4 linked regions of the Caenorhabditis elegans genome follow. The protein of the gene in region 2 purifies or fractionates together with the protein of the main gene of each other region. This does not show direct contact. Each region holds a gene or a part of one and is shown on either strand. Other genes may lie near its edges. The genes, in order: memo-1, nex-1, Y54F10AM.8 and got-2.2.

What was found.
Region 1: the proteins of nex-1 (region 2) and memo-1 fractionate together in Caenorhabditis elegans (co-fractionation; one large-scale study listed by BioGRID). This does not show direct contact.
Region 3: the proteins of nex-1 (region 2) and Y54F10AM.8 fractionate together in Caenorhabditis elegans (co-fractionation; one large-scale study listed by BioGRID). This does not show direct contact.
Region 4: the proteins of nex-1 (region 2) and got-2.2 fractionate together in Caenorhabditis elegans (co-fractionation; one large-scale study listed by BioGRID). This does not show direct contact.

The regions. Positions count from the first base shown.
Region 1 is NC_003283.11:7,843,973-7,849,536, forward strand, and holds memo-1 (Protein memo-1 homolog), read right to left. Parts: upstream 3,022-5,564; intron 2,642-3,021; 5' UTR 2,565-2,641; coding exon 2,511-2,564; intron 2,197-2,510; coding exon 2,123-2,196; intron 1,772-2,122; coding exon 1,604-1,771; intron 1,558-1,603; coding exon 1,489-1,557; intron 1,437-1,488; coding exon 1,324-1,436; intron 1,275-1,323; coding exon 766-1,274; intron 713-765; coding exon 647-712; downstream 1-646. Other genes in the region: grd-8 (Ground-like domain-containing protein), read left to right, coding at 67-327. UniProt on the Caenorhabditis elegans protein: Plays a role in the oxidative stress response and the maintenance of longevity by regulating the interaction between GTPase rho-1 and oxidase bli-3. In turn, this serves to modulate bli-3 activity and the control of reactive oxygen species production.
Region 2 is NC_003281.10:5,223,429-5,227,450, reverse strand, and holds nex-1 (Annexin), read right to left. Parts: upstream 1,831-4,022; 5' UTR 1,828-1,830; coding exon 1,315-1,827; intron 1,262-1,314; coding exon 806-1,261; 3' UTR 647-805; downstream 1-646. Other genes in the region: C34E10.10 (rRNA-processing protein UTP23 homolog), read left to right, coding at 1-256, 306-554.
Region 3 is NC_003281.10:2,502,741-2,510,094, forward strand, and holds Y54F10AM.8 (Putative phospholipase B-like 3), read right to left. Parts: upstream 5,233-7,354; 5' UTR 5,231-5,232; coding exon 5,159-5,230; intron 4,758-5,158; coding exon 4,651-4,757; intron 4,224-4,650; coding exon 4,002-4,223; intron 3,877-4,001; coding exon 3,682-3,876; intron 3,486-3,681; coding exon 3,188-3,485; intron 3,127-3,187; coding exon 2,864-3,126; intron 2,817-2,863; coding exon 2,528-2,816; intron 1,468-2,527; coding exon 1,292-1,467; intron 992-1,291; coding exon 868-991; 3' UTR 679-867; downstream 1-678. Other genes in the region: Y54F10AM.6 (uncharacterized protein), read left to right, coding at 6,352-6,391, 7,068-7,171. UniProt on the Caenorhabditis elegans protein: Putative phospholipase.
Region 4 is NC_003284.9:6,239,004-6,243,761, reverse strand, and holds got-2.2 (Aspartate aminotransferase), read right to left. Parts: upstream 2,780-4,758; 5' UTR 2,759-2,779; coding exon 2,503-2,758; intron 2,453-2,502; coding exon 1,904-2,452; intron 1,686-1,903; coding exon 1,246-1,685; 3' UTR 1,053-1,245; downstream 1-1,052. Other genes in the region: rml-3 (dTDP-4-dehydrorhamnose 3,5-epimerase), read left to right, coding at 4,704-4,758.

The sequences.
Region 1 (5,564 bases), on a different chromosome or scaffold from region 2:
GCTTACAACTTGAATTACGACTTGAATTACAACTTGAATAAGCTTAAAATATCCACCAAATTTCAGCAAGCCGAAAAAAAATTCGGAACAACTTTCGAATCAGTCGCTGCTCATTCGGACTTCGTCGCAAAAATTAATTTTGCCGGTGACCTGAACTGTAAAATAGAAATCGATGGGAAATTCATACTAGCGTACGCAACTCCAATCGCCGAGCAAGAGGTGAACATTGTCGATGCTAGCTCATTCTTCTCGGGAGCTGCTGATAAGGATTTGGATGGTGTCAATGGTACCAAGCCCACCTACATTGTCTACGGTCCCATTAAATAATGGAGGGTCTAGCTTTAAAGATTTCTGTATATTAAAGCTGAAATGTGAATTAATTGTTTATTTGCCAATCACAATAAAGTTGGAAATATCATTTGAATAGTTCGAAAGTTTTCAATCGGAATGGGAGAAAATTCGAAAATTTAGGTGGAGGTGAAAAGTTGATGAAGTAACACAATTAACTGTGCTCGAATCCTGAATAGAAGGAGAAAAGAGCCTATAAACAGATTTTCAATTTACACATATTACACAACAATTCAGGAAGAAGACAGTAGTTGCAAAAGAAAATACGTAGAAAAAAGAGTGAAGGACTGGCGGGATGTCAGTTTGGATGTACAAATAGAACTCCTGAAGCATAAGAAACAGAAGAATCGACCGATGATCGAACCTGAAATGGATTTATTGTTGATTGAAAAATATTAAGCAATTCTGAATCTCTACCTTGTTTGATTGTGTGTAATGCAAGAATCTAAACTCGTGAGTGTGATTGTTACTGATCCGGAAATGTTCGGCTGCTTGCAGCATTATCAATATCGGATTACGCCCACAAATCGTGTTCTGGGTCTTTTTGAGGTAGTCATTAAAAGCTGCCGGATTAAGCGTCTCAATTGCGCTCATTCCCTGCTTATCCATATTGGTTATCTGCTCATAAATCGGAATAGAACTATGACGATCGTACGGAGAAAAGCTGAAGCGTTCTCCCCAATGGCAAAAGTCCGAAGAGATCACAAACAAGTTTCTTGGATCCTCCATGTAATGAGCAAAAATATTTCCATACGTTTGCTGCCTAGATCCTGGTAAAGATCCAACAAGTACCGGAACAATGGTGTAACGTTTTGAACCCATAACCTTTGCAATAAATGGGAGTTGCATTTCAATACTATGCTCTGATTCTTCATCTCGGCGATCCATCAAATCGAAATGACGAGTGGCACGAAGCTCCTCGTTAACTGCAAAGGGCAATGTTGTAAAAGATGTACTAAGAGTGCAATAGATTACTTTTGTGATCAACGATCAAGTCGCCGAGTGGAGTTCTGTACTTGCTGCATGTGGTTATAGCACATCCATTTAGAGCAACAACGTGAGATGGGCCAAGAATGAAGACTCTTTCACTGAAAGTTATTGAGTAAGCCCTGTTGCCAAGTACAAATTTCAACAACTCACACTGCTGATGAAACAACTTGTTTGAAAGCATATGCAGCTGTTTCTCCACAATACGAATATCCCGCATGTCTGAAAGTTATCAGAAAATAAATATTAAATGCATTTAGAGTATTACGGTGAAATCAACGCTCGAGCCGTTCCAATCCGTGGACCGGCGTTGTCAAGCCATTTTGTGAGTTGCCGATCAAGATCTCGCTGGTTGGCGTTGTACCATGATCCGGCATGTGAGGCAGATCTCGTGTGCTCGCCGAATCCGTTTAGTGACATTTTAAATTCAGATGGTCTGAATATTAAAGTTTTGATAAATTGTTGTATACGACTTGATTAATATGTTTAGTAGGGTTTTCAACTACTGTGTGTTTCCCAAATAGTCAACATTGAAAAATGGAAAAGTTTGAATTTAAATATTCAAATAATTTTAATTAATTAATATTAAAATTCACAATACAGTGTAACATCACACTTAATTCAAGATGTTCTAAAAATATGAGCCATCGGGCTAGCTCTACTTCACGAATTCGAATCAAGTCCGGGGAACTGGCTCGAAAGAAAATAAATTTTTAATTTGGTTTATGTCCGAAATAGAAATGGGAATCTGGTTTTTCATTCTGAATAATTTCCGAGAAACACTTACAAAATAAAATTCAGATATCTTGCAAAAGGAAGGCCAAATGTCCTGAGAAATAGAGCACGAGAGTTTTGAAATACCTGCAACAACAGGATTTGCTTCTATTTTGTTTTTTGAACTGAATTTTAAACTATTATCTATTCTGAAAACATTTTTTGTCCAAAAAAAATCAAGAACAATTTAGAGCAAAATGTGGCAATCCGAAAATGTTGATGCAACAAAAAAGTGTTTTTTTTTTCATTGAATTTCAGTTTTGAAAACTGATTTCTTTCCAAAAAAAAAACGAAGGAAAATTTTGAGAAAAAAGTGAAAATCCAAAAATGCTGATTTTGGTTTTTTTTTCAAAAAAAAAGCATTTTGCAAAGTGTGTGCTTTTTTTCGAAAGTTTCAGAACCTTGAGACAAAAAACCAAAATTGTGTTCCCGAGTGAAGCCCGCCACGTGGACATGGTCAGACGAATCTTGTTCGTGTTCGCAGCCAATTTTCATTTTTGCTGAACGCATAATTGTTCAAAGAAGATTCGGTCTAAAAAGACGAAATTGAAATAGATTGTGGAATCCTTTGAAATTTTCTTTTGACAAAAGGTCACCGTTATTCAAAAATTGAGATGGTCTCGTGACTAAAATTAAACAATCAAGATAATCATGATTGTGGGCCTGTTTTAAAATACACTTTTCAAAAACGAAATGTAGGCTCCAATCCAAACTGCGCATCAAGACCAAGAATATAAAATTTTTAAACTCGGGAGACGTAGAGAAACTTTGAATATTAAACATCGCCGTCAAGTTTCCGTCAGAGCGCGCCTGAAATTTTTTAGAGGCTTCTTTCAAAAAGCTACCCATACAAATAATCATAAGAAAAACGTTTTAAAACTTTGCATTCCACCCAAAAATGTCTGAAATTACCCGTAAAAAGAATGTGTGAAGGGAGTGATTTGAGGGTTCTGTCAAACAGTTTGACTGTTTCGCGTTCGACGTGTCTCGACGTGGATGGTATTGAAGAGGACCGCGCTGATCTTGTGCTGGTCGTCGTCGTCTTGTCGGACCGCCGCGAGTAGTCTTCAGTCTACCAATTACCTGAAAATTTGACACTTTTTGTGATGTGAAACTGGCTGCCTGAAGCAATGCCATATAATAATCATAATAATAATAATGAAGAGGGATGAGGATGCATGCCAAAAGAATGAAAGGAAAGACGCTCTTCTACAACACCAGCCGATAGTATTTAGAAGAAAAAGAAGACTAAAAAGAGAGTATTGGGTGATGGGAGAAAGAACACAATAGGGGAGGCAGTGAAATAGAACGAGAACAATGGAATCGGCAGACATTTGACACTAGAGGGGCCACTGTTTCAGTCTTTTTCGCACTTGAATATTGGAAGAGGGCCAAGAAGGGGAGTTCCAAGAATGGAAAAAGTGGTAGGTTTGTAGAAAATCTGCCTTTTTTTTTTTAAAATTTCGTGTTCACTACTTTATTTCGTGTTCACTCGTTTATGTCTTCCATTATAGGCAGGCAAAGTTTCATGCCTACATACCTGCCTCATGCCTATTTGACTTTCAATATAAAACTTGATTTTTGGCATTCTTCATTTTATAACAATTGTAACTAATAATAAGCTTTGCAAAGTTTTCTGAAAGAAATTGTCTAAATTTTCCTGGTACACTGAACATTTTTCGGTATAAAATCTATGCGTATCAAGCCTATTTCTAAGAGCCGTAAGTATTTTCAGCTGAAAATGTAAACCACGGAGTCAATATTTACTTCGTATCATCCATCTTCCATTCCGTCTTGTTTACACCTACGGCAGGTATTTAGACACGAATGATTGTTTTTCTCGTTGCCTAATACTTTTTCCCCCGAAATATTCCCATATTCCAGTTCTGAACAATGCACTTTTCAGCGGTCATCGGGTCCATCCAGCCCTCATTCAGCCCTTTCATTTATCTTCGTTTCTACTTTTAGACGAAAATGCAAAAAAAAGAGAAAAAGACACTCTCTTTTGACGCTCACATTCGCTCACATTGCTGTGGTAGAAAAACACTCACTCGGTGGCTGCTGGGAAGGGAAAACGAGAAAATGTTTGGTCACGCAATACGCCTATATCTTTGATTTGACTTTGAATCTTTATACATTTTTCACGGGGTTCAAAAACAATTATGAAGAAAATTGTTTGATTAAATTAGAATGTAGATTCTTTATATTTTCAATCAAAAATTAATTTTGGAAAAATAACTATCCAAAAAACGAAAAAAGTAATAAATGAGTACTTGAAAGTGAAATGGGGCAATTAAACAAGATAAAAAAGACTAAAACGTGAGACATCTCACAACGGGTCACGGGCAAGAAGTACACGAGAAATCGAACGTGAGTGGGGAGGCAGAGACACTCAGCTGACTGCCTGGCCTGACGCTCGCTCACAAAACGCTCTCACTCTCTTCCTCGCTTTGCCCGCTCTCCGCCCCGGGTCGTCAGTTCGGTCGATCCATGTTTGTTCATTTTTATAGGTGAAAATTTATGTAAGGGAACGGAAAATGTAAAGTGATCGTGGGAAAATAGAAAAACAATTACATTGTAACTTTTCTGGACCAAGTTGTACCCAGATGCAATATGTATATTTTTCTCAGAAAATACTGTGTTGGGTTTCGACAGGATCGATTTATCAAAAGCAAACGAGTGTGCGTCTCAACGAGCACTAAAGTTCCCAACTAGAGCATCCTTGTTGTGGTAGAACTACATAGAAATTTTTAATTTTGATTTCAATAGCTTTTCTCTTGTTTTCTCAAAATTTATTGAAAAACTTATTTACTATAAAACGACCAACGACGGATCTGGAAACTACAGTACTCCTTAATGCAAAAGGCAACGAAAAATCAGCCAGTGACTTATTTTTTGTTCTGGATAAAAATCGGGAATATTTGCATTTTGAATTCGCACTGTATCGATAAACAAAACACCGAAGATCACGCCAAAATGACTATTGTAACTAACAGGTACGAGAAAGGGACGCTTGTTCTACAAAAATAATTCAACAAATTTTCCCCAAAAAAATGTGAAGTCCGCAATTCTCGTAGTTTTACGTAAATCAAACCGAGCATGACACTCTGACACCACGTGCGCCTGAAGATGTGCCTGCCTACCATGGATGCTTTACATTTGCTAGTTCCATGACACCCCATCCTTTCAGCTTCCAAGATGAAGGAGTTCGGAGAAAATTCGAAAAAATATTGAGAAAAATAACCCAAAACATTCTGAAACATTGCGGAAAAAAGTTAGAAATTATGTCGAATATATCTGAACCAATCAACAATTTCAAATAAAATACAAAAAAAAATTGGAAGACCTTAAATAGTCTCCGCCCATATTTTGGCTTCAAATGACCGTACTTCGGAATATGGCCGATGGCCGTGGCAAGACCTCCAATCGTAGTTTTGAGCGGTCAGTAAGTGAAG
Region 2 (4,022 bases):
GTTGAAGGAACTAGAAAAATTCGGACCACTTCTTTATGGAGCTTTTGTCATTGCCAAGCAGTTCGAAATTGCAGAATGTACACATTCAACTCCCCGAGCGGCTTCTGACTGTCTTGCTCATTTAGCTCGGCGAGCTGCAAGTGGAAAAACCAAATATTTGATTGCAACCCAGGACGATGAATTAACTGAAAAGCTGAGAGCAATCGTTGGAACACCGATTATGTACATCAAATTTAAGACTGTGCTACTTGATAATGTGAGTTTTTAAAAACTGAGTGTACTGGAAAAAACATTTTACGTTTCAGATTTCTGAAGCTACAAAGGCTGGCTGTTCTAAAGAAGAATCCGAAATCAAGAAGCTAAAGGAGTTAAAAAATGCGCTGATCGGCCAACAAGAATTGAAGAAGAAGAAAAAGAAAAAAGGAGTCAATCCATTGTCGTGCAAGAAGAAAATTATGAAAGCGTCTGTGGATATCGTCAGAACTGGAGAGAGAACTGCTTCAGGAAAGAGGAAAAGGACAAAAAAGAAGGGATCCTCCATGGATGAAGAGTAAAACATAATGATCTCTTCCGTTTTTACTTGTTTTTGTTGATTTTTAATTTTTTTTCTGTTGAATGAAAATTCATTTTGTGAACGCAGATTTTTTTTTAAGATTTTTATTACAAAATGCGACATTTGAACATAAAAAATACAATCCAGTCTGGTACATATTAGGAGAGGAATGCAGGTAACATTTTAGGGGTTGAAAAGTGAATTTTAATACGAAATTAATGAAGTAAAGCTTGGGTTTGTCAATTTCAGCATCTAGTGGGCAGTAGCGTGGTTTCCATTGATGATGGAGAGCAGAGCGTCACGGTAGGCTCCAGAAGTGTCTCCCTTCACTGTGTCGGCCAAGCTCTTAGAGTAGAGCTCTTGGAATTCGGCCTTGATGAGCTCCAAGTCGACTTCGGAACGAGTGACGATGACACGGATCAAGTCGTTATCGCGAGTTCCGAGTCCTTTCATGGAAGCGTGGAGCTGCTGAGCGAAGAACTTCTGCTTGTCGGAAGCGGCACGGACAATGGTGAGGTAGGATTTCTGGAGATCTCCGGAAAACTCCTTCTCGATGCTTTTCTCGATAGAGCCACCAGCGAGTTCCTGGAAGTAGGCGAAGACCTTGCGGAGCTGGTATTGATTTTGAGTGGCGAGGATGTGAAGGAAGTGTGTTCCGTCCTTCTTGGCAAGCTTGGCTTTTCCGTCGGCGAACAGGCGAACAGCATCCTAAAATAAGAAAATGAATAATTGATCACAGTGAAAAAATAAAGAAAACTTACATCCTTGGCCTGAGCGTCGTTGGTATCATGAGATCCGTCTTTGGATCCAGTGACCAAGCTGACCAAAAGATCACGGAATTCTCCAGAAGTATCTCCAGCGATGTCAGCTTCCAAAGCCTTTCCATACTCCTTCTCGTAGGTCACACGAATGGCGCGGAGTTGATCAACAGTTCTGGAGCACAAAATCTCGATGAGCACAGCCTCGTCAGTTCCCAATCCCTTCATGGCAGCCTTAAGCTGCTTCACATCATAATCCAATGGAGTTTCCATGAGAGCGAAGATGGCCTTCTCGAGATCTCCAGAGAACTTCTTGTCAAGAGCCTGGATGATGTCCTTTCCGTACTTGAGCTTGTATGGCTCGCGGAGCTGCTGGCGCTGAGCGTTGGAGATCGAGGTGATGACGTTGACAACAGCGTCCTTCTCTCCGGCACGAAGAGCACGGTCGATCTTCTCAGCGAACATCGGAGCATTGAACTCTCTAGCGTCGACGATTGTAGCGTATGGGGAAGTCATTCTGGAAACAAACGTGTAATTATTAGGTTTTAAAAGTAAGAAAGAAGCAGAAAAATGGAAGAAAATGAATGGATAAATGAGATGGCGTCTAATATTTATATTTTTCAGTTTTTTGTTTTTAAAAAATTCGGCGAATACAAATTTGTTTACACAGTTTGTTTACTACTGTATACAGTTGGTACGCATTCTTGCGGTGTTTGCGGGTAGTGCATCACAAATTACGCCATGTTTTTCAAGAATGTTTTAAACAATTATATAATTAATTTTTGTTTATGGGTTAAGTGAAAATATCTACTTATATATAGGATGTTTGTAATCTTTTTTGAAATGGAAAAATCCAGGCACTTGTTCCAATCCTGGCCAGAGAGAAATAAATGAACATATTTCTGGACAAGAAAACCGTCAACTGATAAGCAAAATGAAATGACAACACTGAAACAAAAATGACTGTTCACTGAGTGGTAAAGAGGGGCATCTGGGGACGACTAAAAGGAAGAGCGCCGCTGGGGGAGAAAATGGGCGGAGCCAAGAGGGTGATTCATCGCAAACGATAGGAGAGATAGAGATTGAGAGAGAAAACAAAAACAACAGAAAACAGTGGAGAAGAAACATAGGCGGATGATGAAATACAGATAATATTGGATCTTCTTTGTCTTTTTTTTGAGGCAATTGAAAAAATTGAAATTAAACGAAAATTGCGAAAGTTATGACTCATTAGGTTATATAGGTTCTAAATTCTAAATTTAGAATTCATATAAATGATCTAATGTAACACCTCTTCAGGTCCATACCAAAAGTGTTTATGGGGGTGAATTTTAATTTAGAAGCGAAAAAACCAGCATCTTCTCTCGTTTCTCAAATTTCATGCTATCATTTCTTGTTTTTTAACTGGAGTCCCGAAATGAGGGATCGATTTCCTTGTTGTTTTCCCTCCAACAAACATTTTTCCTGCCGGTTCAGGGACACCAACAGGCACCGATCTTCTACCAATTTTTTGTGTCCGTTCGCACATTGAATGACCTGTACGATCGGTGTAGTGTTCTAGTTGATGTGTAACGGAGAGAGAGAGAGAGAGGATGATTCATGGTGTATGGGTAGAAACAAAAATTGTGAAAATTAGAAATTTTTGTGATGAAAAAAACAGAGTTTTTTTGGTAAGAAATGCAAAAACGAGGAGAGCATGACTAAGAAATTTTGTGTTATTAGAAAAATGAACAAATTAAAGTCAAGTTTTTGAGAGCTTGCCCTTCAATGTTGACTGAAATGAAATTTCGTGAACAATTTCGGGCAGTTCAACCTTTTTTGAAACTGGCCCAAAGTTTCTCGAAACGGATTTTCTACGATTTTTCAAAGATTTATTGGAAAAGTTCCTTTTATAAACTTGCGCCATACCTTGCCCAGACTTAGTTTAAGCCGGGCCAATCTTTGATACGAATTTGTTTTTGACTAGTGAGTTGGTTTGAACTTGGGTAAGGTTTTGGCAAGAATTGGATGAAATTTGAGATAAACTTTGGCACGGCCTAAAGTATTTTCCAAGTATTTTCGAAGTTTAGCCCTAGTTTTGTCAACTTCTAAACTGAGTTAATATTTTATGAGTCGCCAAATGCCGAGAAATTAGATGAAGCGTTTTAAATTTTTTGTTAAGCATTCCTACGAGTTGCTTAGATAACTCTATTCGCGGCGTTTCATTTTCTAGATAACTGAGAGTTTTATCAAAATATGTGGAATAGCCATATATTACTTCCGTGGCATATGCAAATGTTCTTGTTGATGTATACTATGTGGAATTTGAATGGTTCACAAGGCCATTGGTCAACGATCAAATTTGTCAACATAAATTGAAAAAGACCGCGTATATAACTGTGGCCAATCTTTTTTTTTGGTTGGTATTGAGGGAATAAAAGGATTTGGAGAGTATTTTCAAAAGTATAGGAAGTTAATAACTGTACATTAAATGGGATTTTATTAATGGAGAGGAGAATAAAAAAGTTCAAGAAACGGATTGGTCTTGATGTAGTAGCATGTTCAGATGAATTGACCTTTTTGGGGAACAATTGGAAAACAGAGAGAACGGACTATACACATGTTGCAAACGTTATTTTGTTTGAATTCAAAAAAGAACAATATGAATGTTTAGATTTAAAGTTACAACATTTATGTTGGAAAACGGCCAAAGATTTAAAAAGAAATTGTGC
Region 3 (7,354 bases), 2.7 Mb from region 2:
TCGAATTTTCCAGAAGGTTCTGGAACATTCCAGAATTTTCTAGAATTTTCCAGAAGGTTCTGGAACATTCTAGAATTTTCCAGAAATTCCCAGAAGGTTCTGGAACATTTCAGAATTTTCCCGAAGTTTCCAATTTCCCTTCCAAAGACGGAAAGTCAATTTTTCCTAAACTACAGTAATCCTACAGTACTCCTACAGTACCTCTACAGTTCTACTACAGTACCCCGACCATATCCCATTAATAACTCCAAACCTTTATCTCTTCAAAAGAAAAAACTCAATTTTTCCTAAACTACAGTAATCCTACAGTACTCCTACAGTACCTCTACAGAACTACTACAGTACCCCGACCATATCCCACTACTAACCCCAAACCTATATCTCTTCAAAAGACAAAAACACAATTTTTCCCAAACTACAGTAATCCTACCGTACTCCTACAGTACTACTACAGTACCCCGCCCATATCCCCCTACTAACCCCAAACTAATATCCCTCCAACAGCCGAAAACGCCTTGCCTTTGTAAGCTATGACATTTTATTTTTTCGTCTAAAATTTTATTTTTTCGTCTAACATTTTTCTATTTTCGGTATCGGTTCAAACCTGTAGAAGTTCATTTTTTTAAAGTTTAAAAACCTGGAGGAGAAGAGAAGAAATGGGTGTTCCCATAAAGACGGTTTCTTTCAGTTCTTTGCTTCATTAAACTTAACTGCCAACTCTTTTGAGGTCAGACTAACCATCCACTCGAATTTCATTTCGTTTCGAAAAACCGTTTCATTAAAAGCTTCTACACCAAAATTTAGGAGTGAAAAATTGATTTAAAATGTATAAAAATTGGGTCATCAGAATAAAAATGGGGTAGAAATCTAATTATCATATGGTGTCAGTTGAACTTGTGCTGCAAGTTGCCATTCCAAATCAACATAGGTAAAATTCCAGACATCTGGCTGACCAAAGTGACGAACGTTTGTTAGATTTGTGTGATTCCAGCTGAAAATAATTAGTTGAGTTGAAAATTTGAATTTTTAAAATTCCACTAATTCCACTAAACATTTCAATTTCAAATTGATTTTTTTTTTGAATTTCGGCAAAAAATGCGTTGGGAACTTCAATATTTGAAATTTCCTGTCGAAAAACCTTTTGGAAAATTAGAAAAATTGCAGTTTCCCGCCAAAATTTAGTTTGAAATTTTTAAAATATAAAACTTCCCAGTTTTTTTTGGAAGTTTTAAAAAATAAATTGAAACGTGAAAACTTTAGTTGAAAACTCAATAAAATGCCAGGAACTTACTCAAAAACTGGAAGAGGATCATATGGTGGTCCACCCCATGCACGGAATCTCATTTTCTTGAACATTTCATAGTTGGTTCCCTTAAAATCAAGTCCAGCATGATCTCTGAATCCCATTGATTCGACTTCGTAAGTACCTCCGGGAGTGTTCAAATCACCACGAGCAGAGATACCTCCCTGGAAATAGTTAACTTTTTAGAGAATAGTCAAGCTTTTCAGGCTTCAATTAACACCTGGCAGGCAGGCAGGTAGGCATGTAGCCAGGCAGGCATAAAATGTTAAGTTGCAAAGTTATAGAATAATAATTAACAGAAAACCTTGTTAGTAGACAATTTTTGATTAAAAAAGGGAGCCGAAATATAATATGTCGAAGTTTAGAGATCGATGCACCAGGGCTGTGCGGCTGGTGAGTCGGCTGGTAGAGCATTTTTAAAGTTTACAGTGTGTAAGAAGTTACTAATTTGGAAATAGTTATTTCAGTTGAATAGAGCGTCCCCTGAGCTAGCTATTAAACAAAAAATTTCGAAAAAAAACCTGTACACACGTTTAATAAGCACGTTTTTTGAATCTACCAGCCGACAGCCGACAGCCGACAGCCGACACCTGAGAACTTTAAGCCGTATCAGAACGGTGACTGATTTTTTTTCGATTTTTTTTTTGAAAAAACTGTCCCGTGGGTCTACTTATTAGAATTTTATAATTACTTTAAAATCGTTTTTTGTTGACCCTGTGAAAACTTTAAAAATGCTCTACCAGCCGACTTGCCAGCCGCTCAGCCCTGCGATGCACCATGTGCAACTCTAGAACTATTCAACTTTGGCAGCCTATATCTCGGTTCATTTTTGAGATATCAATAAAATTTCAACTACAAAATTATAGAGAAAGAACTAACAAACATTTTGTCAATTGATAACTTTTTGATAAAACCGAAGATAGCTGAGATATGGCCTGACAAAGTTCAGAGACCGATGCACCACGTGCAAAACTAGAACTCCTTATCTTTAGAAGCTCAAATCTCGGCTTATTTTTGATATACCAACAAGTTTTAAACTACAAAATTATAGAAAAAGAAATAACCAAAGTTTTGACAATTGACAACTTTTTGATAAAACTGATTACAACTGAGATATCGGCTTTCAAAGTTTAGAGATCGATGCACCATGTGCAAATCTAGAACTATTCAACTTTGGCAGCCTATATCTCGGTTCATTTTTAAGATACCAAAAAAAATTTTTACCTCTCCAGTATACGGATTGGGTGTGCACTTGCATCTTGCAAACTCCTCATGAGTATAATCATTGTATCTCATCAATTTTGTCAATGAATCAATATCAGTGACTTTTGAATGATCTCTATCAAAGATTCTTGCACGTGGGGAGCCTCCCCAATCGAACCATGCAAATTGTCTGGCCTTGTTGTCAAAACCGGAGATCTCGCTGACTTTTGGAAGGAATGGAATGTTGTAAGAGGCGAAATAGGTGTACTTCTTCAGGTACCATGTCATGTCACGGGTCTCGTAGTAGCCACTGAAATTTTGAGGGATTACTGCTTGTTTGCTTAGGTGCCTACTCACGGTGTCTGCTCGGAAATCCAAAGAACATCCTTGTCGGGGAGCTCCTTCTCAGGAGTGAATTGTTTCCAATCCAACACCGTCCACTGATTGTTATAGGTTCCTGAATTGTACCGTCCGAACATGTCAACCCATTGTTTCCCGGTTCTTGAGAGCAAGTTCGAGATCATCGATCGGATCCAGCAGTGAACTTGTCCTTCTGGTTTCATGAACTTGTCAGTATACAGGGTTTGGTTGAAAATCGCAATTGTCGTTTCGATAGAGGTCTGTAAGATCATAAATGCATAGGCTTCAGGCAGGCATGCATGCCTACACAGACCCACTTACCAATCCAGCAGAGGTGATAGTGTAGTCATCGGTGGAAATCAATACTCCCGGGTACCCGGAGAAAGTAACAATATGCCCGGGAACCTCGTTGACGTCATATCCGAACTTGTAAATTTTGAGAACTCTCTGCATCCAACTGAGAGAAGACATTGAGACATGAGCCATGAACATGTCCTTGTTCCCTGGAGCAAGTTTGACGAATCCGGAGCATCTTCCACCTTCTGGGTACTCCATCGGGTCGGCGGTTTTGTTGAGAAGCTTGTTCAGGTCAAACATATCTCCGGCTAGTTGCATCATGCTGGAAGATTTATCACGTAGTGAGTATAGAAAGGTCTCGTGGCCTAGAAACCTTGGCGGTCGCGCTTAGGAAAGGCGTGACGTCACATGGCATTAAGAAACCCAGATAGTTGGACTTAGTTGCCTAAGCCTAAGCCTAATCCCATGCATAAGCCTAAGCCCAAGCTTAAGCCAGTTTTTACCACTACTAAACTCACTAAATTGGGTGAAGATCAAATCCGATTTCTGGTGTCAAATTTCTCTTGCTATAGGCATCGTAGATTCCGGTGAGCTGAGCAAATGTCAAATTGACCTGACGCCAGAATGGATCCGTCGGTGGATTGGCCTGAACTTGGCTTCTCATCCAGTCCAAATTTTGTTGAAGATAAATGTAGAGACGTTTGCAGAACAAGCTGAAATTAGTGGGAAATTGAGCAACCGACCAATTAGAGACGTTGGCTCCGCCTCCTAACAAAACGCTGATTGGTTGGAGCTCATTCAAAAGCTTTTGACTTAGATTGAAACAAAACCAACATACGTATGATTATTGCACATTGTCTCAATAGTATTACGATAGTGATAGTAGATTTGAAGGCGAGTGAGCTCTCCTTCTGCAACTCCTGCTCCGTATGCTTGAACATCATATGAGTGACTGGCGAATGTTTCAATCTCGAGAATTCCCCATCCGGTGGTGTTCACCTGGTTTGAGTATTTTCCCAGAGCAACACGGGATGCTGCGTTTTTGCATTCCTTGGCGTATCTGAAAAAGTTTAAGTTTCTAAAGTTTATGGATGATGAATTTATACTTGTAATTAAACTGTAAAGTTCTATGAATCAAACTTAATTTTTAGTTGACCATATTTAAATAGCTTGATAAAAATCAAGCAGCCGACACTTGACGGGATTTTCACGCTCTATTAGTGGCCGACACTGCATGGGTTTGGTTTCGGTGCTTGATATATTTTCAGACAGCAGTAACTCAGAATCTAGACAATTTGGTTGAAATTTTCCAATTGGTAAATGTATTCTTGCACTTTTTAGTTTAACACTTGTCTATATCTTCACTTAGGAAAAAGTTATAGCGGCCGACGTCCCACAGGTTCGCTTTGGAAATATTATATGTTAGATTTCATTTATTTTCACTGCCCAACAAATAATGGGTCTCAAAAACTGAAAAATAAACTCACACAATATCCAAAAGAGTCTCATCTGTAGAGTTTACACAGACTGACACATAGGTATAGTCGAATTTGGCCGAAGAATGGTCATTCAGGATTTGCTCAACTGGGACTCTCTGAAAATTTTTCGATTAGTTGTATTTATAGTGACACCTAAAATTGACAACACTTTTTGCTCACTTTTACTTGCCGGAATCTTCTTGGCTTGGTCTAGGCTTAGGCTCTCAAACACAGTTACGTAGATTTATGTCCATAGCGGGTAGATTTAGGCTTAGGCTGAGGCTTAGGCTTAGGAATAGGTTTAGGCTTAGGCATAGGCATAGGCATAGGCGTAGGCTCAGATTTAGGGTTGGGGCTAGGCTTAAGCTCAAGCTTCGGTTCTGAAGCTTGGATTCTTTCGATAAATTGAGCAAAACGTGTTGTCACTTTAAGTTTCTGAAAATTTCTATTTTTAGCTCGACTCGCTACATGGGCGAGAAAAACTTAGAAAACTAAGCCACCGGCTTAAAAAACTCACATTATTATCGAGATATGGTTTTTCTTGCTCTACAGCAAATATTAACCCAAAGAGAAAGAAGAGTAACTTCATTTCTGAAAAATATCAAACATCACTAACTGAAAATAGAGAAGAAAAAATCAAAAAATTGGCCTAAAATCGGGAAGAATTGCGAATGAAAATGGTTTTCATTATCATCAATCTATCAGAATGATAATGAGACAGTGTACAGAGAGACGACGTTATCAGTTAACGGAGCACAGTGCAATCAGACTGATACCCGTTGTTCGGTTATCTCCTGATCAAATTTGATGGGGAGAACATGGAAATTTATTGGACACGCGTGTACTGGCCCGGCCAAAATTTCCGTGTTTTTTACCCAGTGCGTCCCAGAACTCTATAAAATAGCCGAATGGCAAAAATTGATTGATTTTTCTGAAAATATCGAAGCGTTGAGATCAGGGCTGTGTGGCATTTTTTTTTCGGCAAACGCAAAAAACTGCTTATTTCAACATGATAATCCAACTTTTGGAATCCAAAATTAATATAGCAATGTAGAAAAAGATTTGTTCCATCTCAAAATAACATTTATTTTTATTGAAAAGCTCGAAAAAGACCTCAAATATTGCCTGAAAGTTGCCGTTTGCCGAAAAACTATTAATGGCACTTTTTCGACAAACGACCACTTTCAGGTAATATTTGAGGTCTTTTTCAAGCTTTTCAATAAAAATAAATGTTATTTTTAGATGGAGCAAACCTTTTTCTACATTGCTATATTTATTTTGGATCCAAAAATTGTTCTGAACCACCACTTGATATTCTTTAAATCTTATTTTCCATTTTCACTTCCTAATTCCAAGTTGCCCCGGGGTTCAAGGTTCAACCTACATATACCCCCCCCCCCCCACCTTTCCTCAATAAAATACGGAAGTACGGTTCCAGTACTTGAACGGAAAACTTGTAAGCAGTTTCGGGTGGGAGATAATACAGGGGCGCATCCGGCTACTTCTCTAATCTCCTTGCAAATCCTCATCATTCAAACCAAGGGGCAGATCGAAAGGCAATAAGTGGACGAATACACATAGCTGTCGCCGTTTTTATAATGATTGACCTCTTTCGGTCATGTAAGTGGTCTCCTCCCTTCCCGTGTGTTGATCCGTTCTTCTTTGAAGATACATCTATTCTCACTAGTTTATGAGATCATCTCTTCACGAATGAGACTTCTCCTCGGCTTCTGCTTGCTTCCTATACTTGGTTCGTTTTTTTTTTTTTGAATTGAAAACTTATAACATCTGAAACTCGAACTCTACGATTTCTTGTGGGCTCAAAGGTGTTACCGGCTGATTTTTTCCCTTTTTTGTAGCTGTGAGCTTTAAGGCACTACTACTTATTATTTTGTTAGTTGACACAATTTTGATATCATTTTCCGTTAGTGAATTGCATGGTTTGGAAAGAATGTTTGTAATTTTTTGGAATTTTTACATATTTTTTTCGTTAAGGTTCTGTAACTTAAACATTGTGAGTGCTAACAAAATGTTGTCAACTAACGAAATACTTATTAAAACGTGCTTACCATTTTGCCAATTGACATTTTTTTCGTATCACTTTTTGTTCGCGAGTTACAGAGCCTGGAAGAAAGTTAAGAAAGTTACTAAATGGGTGTTGTAGGAGTACTGTAGGGATACTGTAGCTAGGGTACTGTAGGGGTAGTGCAAGGATACTGTATGCCTATTATAGGAGTACCGTAGCGACAGTGTAGTGTAGCGACTACTGTAGAGTACCGGTCGGGGCTATCAACAAAAAACAGTGAACAAAAAACAAAAATTGTATTTCTCCAAAACATTCCTAGAGACTATGAGGTGCTGAAAGGTACTGTAGGAGTACTGTAGAGGTACTGTAGACCAATTTGATTTGTATGTATAATTTTCAGTGTCCTCCCAGCTAGCAGCAGTCTACTCGGACGCTACAAGAACGGATGTTTGCAGCAACTGGAGCAGCTGGGGAAAGTGTGTGTGGCCAGATCAGAAAACTGGGGTAAGTTTTTTTTGAGCAGCCGACGTCTCGCGGGTCAGGTGTCGGTCAACTCACTGTTCGACTTTCAAGCTAGTAGGACTGCTGTTGAGCCGCCGACGTTTGCCGGTTTTGCTGCTAGTGGCAGACATCTCAAGGGTGGCCGAAATAATTGACCCGTGAGGTGTCGGTTGCTTCTAATCCAGT
Region 4 (4,758 bases), on a different chromosome or scaffold from region 2:
CAGTCTAAAGTTTTACAGTCTTGATAGACCAGCGTAATTTTTGCCCATTCGGAAATGTTTCACCGAAGCCTTTTTGGGACTTTTGAATGCAGCAAGAACTGGAGGAATCAAATAGAATCAAACAGATTTTCTTGTTACTGAGGGAACCTGTTTTCTCAAATTATGCTTTTTGTTTTTTTTTTTTTTAATTTAATTATGCAGCCCAAGCTGCTTGGCGTCATCGGTAGAGGCCCGCCATTGGATGGTTGTCGGCTTGATTCGGCGGCCGATATAGATGCGCTCATTAACAACTTCGAGTTGAGATATAATGGAGGATCCATTAACGTAGGAAGTACTGGACTCTGAAAATTCATTGCGCGAGGCTTGCCCATTTTCTCAGCTTATCCCACTTATCGTCTTGAAATCTACTGGAACCAATTTCGTATATATTATTTGAGCAGTTGACTGGAAGTAAGTTGTTGATTTGCGACGAGCTAAATACCATCTGAAAATTCACGGCTAGTTTGAGTTCTGTCCAGGTATGATTTTGTAATCTTTGGTTTCAGTTTTTATAAGGCATTTTGAAAACAAGCTGAAATAATTTTTGAAAAAAAAATAGATTTTCTAACCAATTTATTTTGACCCATGACCGTGACTTGAATTTGCAGAATTAAATACCAGAACTCTACGCCCATGTTTCAGAAAACCACACCGATGCGTTTATCTGAAGTCGAAAAGTTTCTGAAAATTTTGTTAAATAATTATGTATTTAACTCTCTAATGTATTTAACATAATTTGATTTTATAAAAATACTTTGTCTTTTTCCTCGAAAATCTTATGGTTTCAGAGAACTCAAAATATGTGCGTGTTATACCATTCATTGTAAGCACACTTCCAACTAAATAAATTTAAATTTGAAAGTGATATTAATTTTTTTTAATTTTTCGTTTTCAGAAAACTGACAATTATATTTCTTTCAAAACAGTTAGAAACACAACGTTTCAGAATCGAATAATTGAATTAACGTAATTGCTAAACAAATATCGTGCATATCATTTTTCAATAACCAACTCCAGTAAAGATTAAGGTCGAAACCCAATTTATTAAAAGTTCCCATTCTCAGAAAAAAAACAGGCTACAAATAAAAATGAGATAAAGCATACTGCCATTCTACAACCGGAGAATAAGAAAACCGAAAACGAGAAAATTATTCTATTATGACAGATAGAATAAGTTAAAATGGGAAGAGTGCATTTGTCACTGATTTACTTGGTGACTTGGTGGAGAGCGTGGGCAAGGTAAGCGACATTGTTCGATGAAATTCCCGCCACCGAGATACGTCCGTCCTTGGTGAGGTAGACAGAGTGTTCCTTGATAAGCTTCTCAACTTGTTGTGGGTTGATTCCAGTAAAGCAGAACATTCCAATTTGGTTGGTAATGTGCTCCCAATTACGAGTAGATCCCTCCTTGGCGAGCAAATCCTTGAGCGTAGTTCTCATGGTGATGATACGATCAGCCATGAGCTTGACATCTCCGAGCCATTGCTTGTTGAGAGCTGGATCCGCGAGGATGCGGGAAGCAATGCGAGCTCCATGGACTGGTGGGTTGGAGTAGAGTGGGCGAATAAGGATCTTGACTTGAGAAGCAACACGAGCAGCCTCATCAGCGTCCGAGGTAACAACGGAGAAAGCACCGACTCGTTCACCTTAAACAGAATAAATTATAAAAATTATGCAGTATTCAGGGTTAGGGCTACAAAAGGGTAGAAAAGATAGGATAATGCGACACCAGTGATATCCGCGTTATCATGGCCTAACTTCCAACACCAAGAAGAAACTGCGCTCTATTGCACAAAAACAATACATTTCGTATTGAACTCCAGCTTGTAAAATTCAAATTTAACAAATTAGTATGTAAACTCACCATAAAGTCCCATGTTCTTGGCAAAGGATTGAGAGAGAACAATGTTGTGTCCTTGCTCGACAAAGTAACGAACAGCGAACGCGTCATTGTCAACATCTCCGGAAGCGAAACCTTGGTAAGCCATATCGAAGAAGACAAACAAGTTGCGTTTCTTCACAATGTCGGAGATCTTCTTCCACTGGTCACGGGATGGATCAACTCCAGTTGGGTTGTGAGCACAAGCGTGAAGCAAGATTGTGGATCCTTCCGGGATTTGAGCAATGTCAGCGAGTGCTCCAGTTTCATCAAAACCACAGGTGGACTTGTCATAATAGCGGTATTGCTTGACATCGACTCCGGCAAATTTGAAGATTGGAACATGGTTTCCCCAAGTTGGTGTTGGCTGGTAGATAACCTTGGTCTTGGCGTACTTAGAAAGGAACTCAGATCCGATTCTAAGGGCTCCAGTTCCAGAAATGCTCTGAGTGGTGAAGATTCTCTTGTTCTTGATCACATCAGAGTTCTCTCCAAGAGCGAGTTGAGCAGAGAGCTTGGTGAACTCGGGAAGTCCTGCAAACAAATAAAGAGTTCAAATGGATCAATAAGTTTATAACACTCACCAACAATTCCGGCGTACTCCTTATCAAGATTGGCAGCGATCACTTGACGTTCAGCTTCCTTGACCGATGGGAGAACAAATGGCTTTCCTTGATCGTCACGGTAAGCTCCGACTCCAAGGTTGATCTTCTTTGGGTTTGAATCGGCTTTGAAGGCCTCGGTGACTCCAAGAATCGCATCTGGTGGTCCCATCTCAACATGCGACCACCACGACTTTCCTCGCACGGCGGTAGAGAAAAGCTTCTTGGAAACGCTCATTGTTGATTGGAGAAAGATTACCTGAATATTCAATATTAATGTTTCGAGTGGGAACTTAAAAGACGTTTTGAAAGTAGGCGTGGAAATCACGTTCCGATTAGAATGAAGCAACGAAACATTGATAGCAGGGAAGACTAGAGTACGTACAACGCATGATTCCTTATCCGAAGAAACAAAAATAAAATAAAACGTGGGTATCATTATCTTTACCAGGACAATTATTTGAGTGTTCAATGGTGTTTGAATGGGCTGATTGGACACTTTTTTTAAATTCAAAAAAGATACCCTAGGACACTCCATTCAGGGTACTAACCACATTTCTAGCCTTTAGCAACGGCGTGGCATCAAACTAGGCTAAAATTGTAGTTAAACTTATTGACTCTATCAAAAACAACTGATGTGAAACAACAAAATGGACCGACTGCACCGCCTATGAAAGAATGGACGCGTCTGCTCATCTTATCCCAGTCCACGAACTGGCAAGGAAGACGACAAGTGAGAAGAACTGGAGAAACTAGGTTAGAGAGTACGGAGATTCGAGAGAGTGTAGGGTGGCAGAGGAAAACTCGGGCGGCCGCGGCAACGTGAGAAACATGCGGTTCGACGATTCAGTCGTTTTTGTGTAACTCGGCGCTCGAGAACTGGTAAACAGTAAGTAAACTGCGTTCGAAAAAAAATATAAGAAAATCGCCGTACTTCGGTCGTGAAATTATTTGTTTAAATAATATAATTTTTTAAACTTTTCTATTAGCAGCACCGTGTTCGCAAAAAAAAATCTCAAAGAATTTTTGATGAACGGAAAAAAAGCGACTAATGACTGTAAAAAGGCAAGGAAAAACTGAGGCCAACAAGATAAATGAAAAAAAATTTGGTTGTTGTTGTGGTTCGTCACTCTCAAAGGTTCGATATTGTCCGCGCGCGGCCGGAGAACACAGGTTGGTAGGTCAAAAGTGCTGGTGGCACACGGATATTGGAAGTCTTAAAATTCAAGATGGTGTCTTACTTCAAAAATTGAATTTGGGATAGCAAAAAAAAATAAATTTAAAGTACAGAAAAAATATAAAACATAGAAAAAAGTTAATGAAAAATGGTTTTTATATTAACGTTTGGACGTTTGGAAAACCGCTCAAAATTGTGTGAAGAATTTCGGATATATTCTGGAAAGGAATCCACCAAAGTGTTGGAGTTTTTTCCCGTCATTTTCAAAGATTAGGACAATTTTTGAGTTTTTTTTTCGATTGTTCCAAATAAAAGGAAAATGATTTTCAGATAAAGCAACCAGTTTTCTATAATCTTTAACTAAGGTATAATTTTTATTTTTTGTTGAATTGCTTGTCGGAAATTATAGCGCATCCACGGTCGATAAAATAAAATGTAAATTGTAAGATGGTTTAAAAAATTTTTCTAACATCTGGAAACAAAAACGTTTACAACTGAACTGCCTGTGAGTATAGTGTTATCATTTTGGATTACCTCTTGTGAGCAAACTTCAATACATTCAATTCTGATAAACAAAACCTAGCACACGTCACACTAACCTGTAGTGTTCAGATAGAGTTTTTTGAAAATTACTTTTAGATTGTCGCCCGAATTTTGTGTAATTCACTTTGTGTTACAAATTTACAAATTGTTCAACATTTGTGTGACTTTCACGTGGACATCCGTAAACATTTTGAGTCCTTTGTTTCTCTCAATTTTTCTCTCGATTTGAGTGCAAAATGATTTTTGCGATAAATATGAAAGAAACTCCAAATTTTGCCTAGCCTAGAGAAAAGGATCTATTGTCTCCGGGAGGTTTCGTATCGCGGAATCGAGACCGGCCTAGAACAGGATCTGTTGTCGGGAAGAGATGAGATTTCTAGGACACGATATGAACGATGTCAAGGCTAAAAAGGTTGCCTTTCTCGAGAAGAACCGTTCATTCTTGCCTGACTCGCATTGAATAATGTCGCATCCTACTCCAGGAAAACGTTTCCAACTCGAGAAAGAAGTCATCGAGG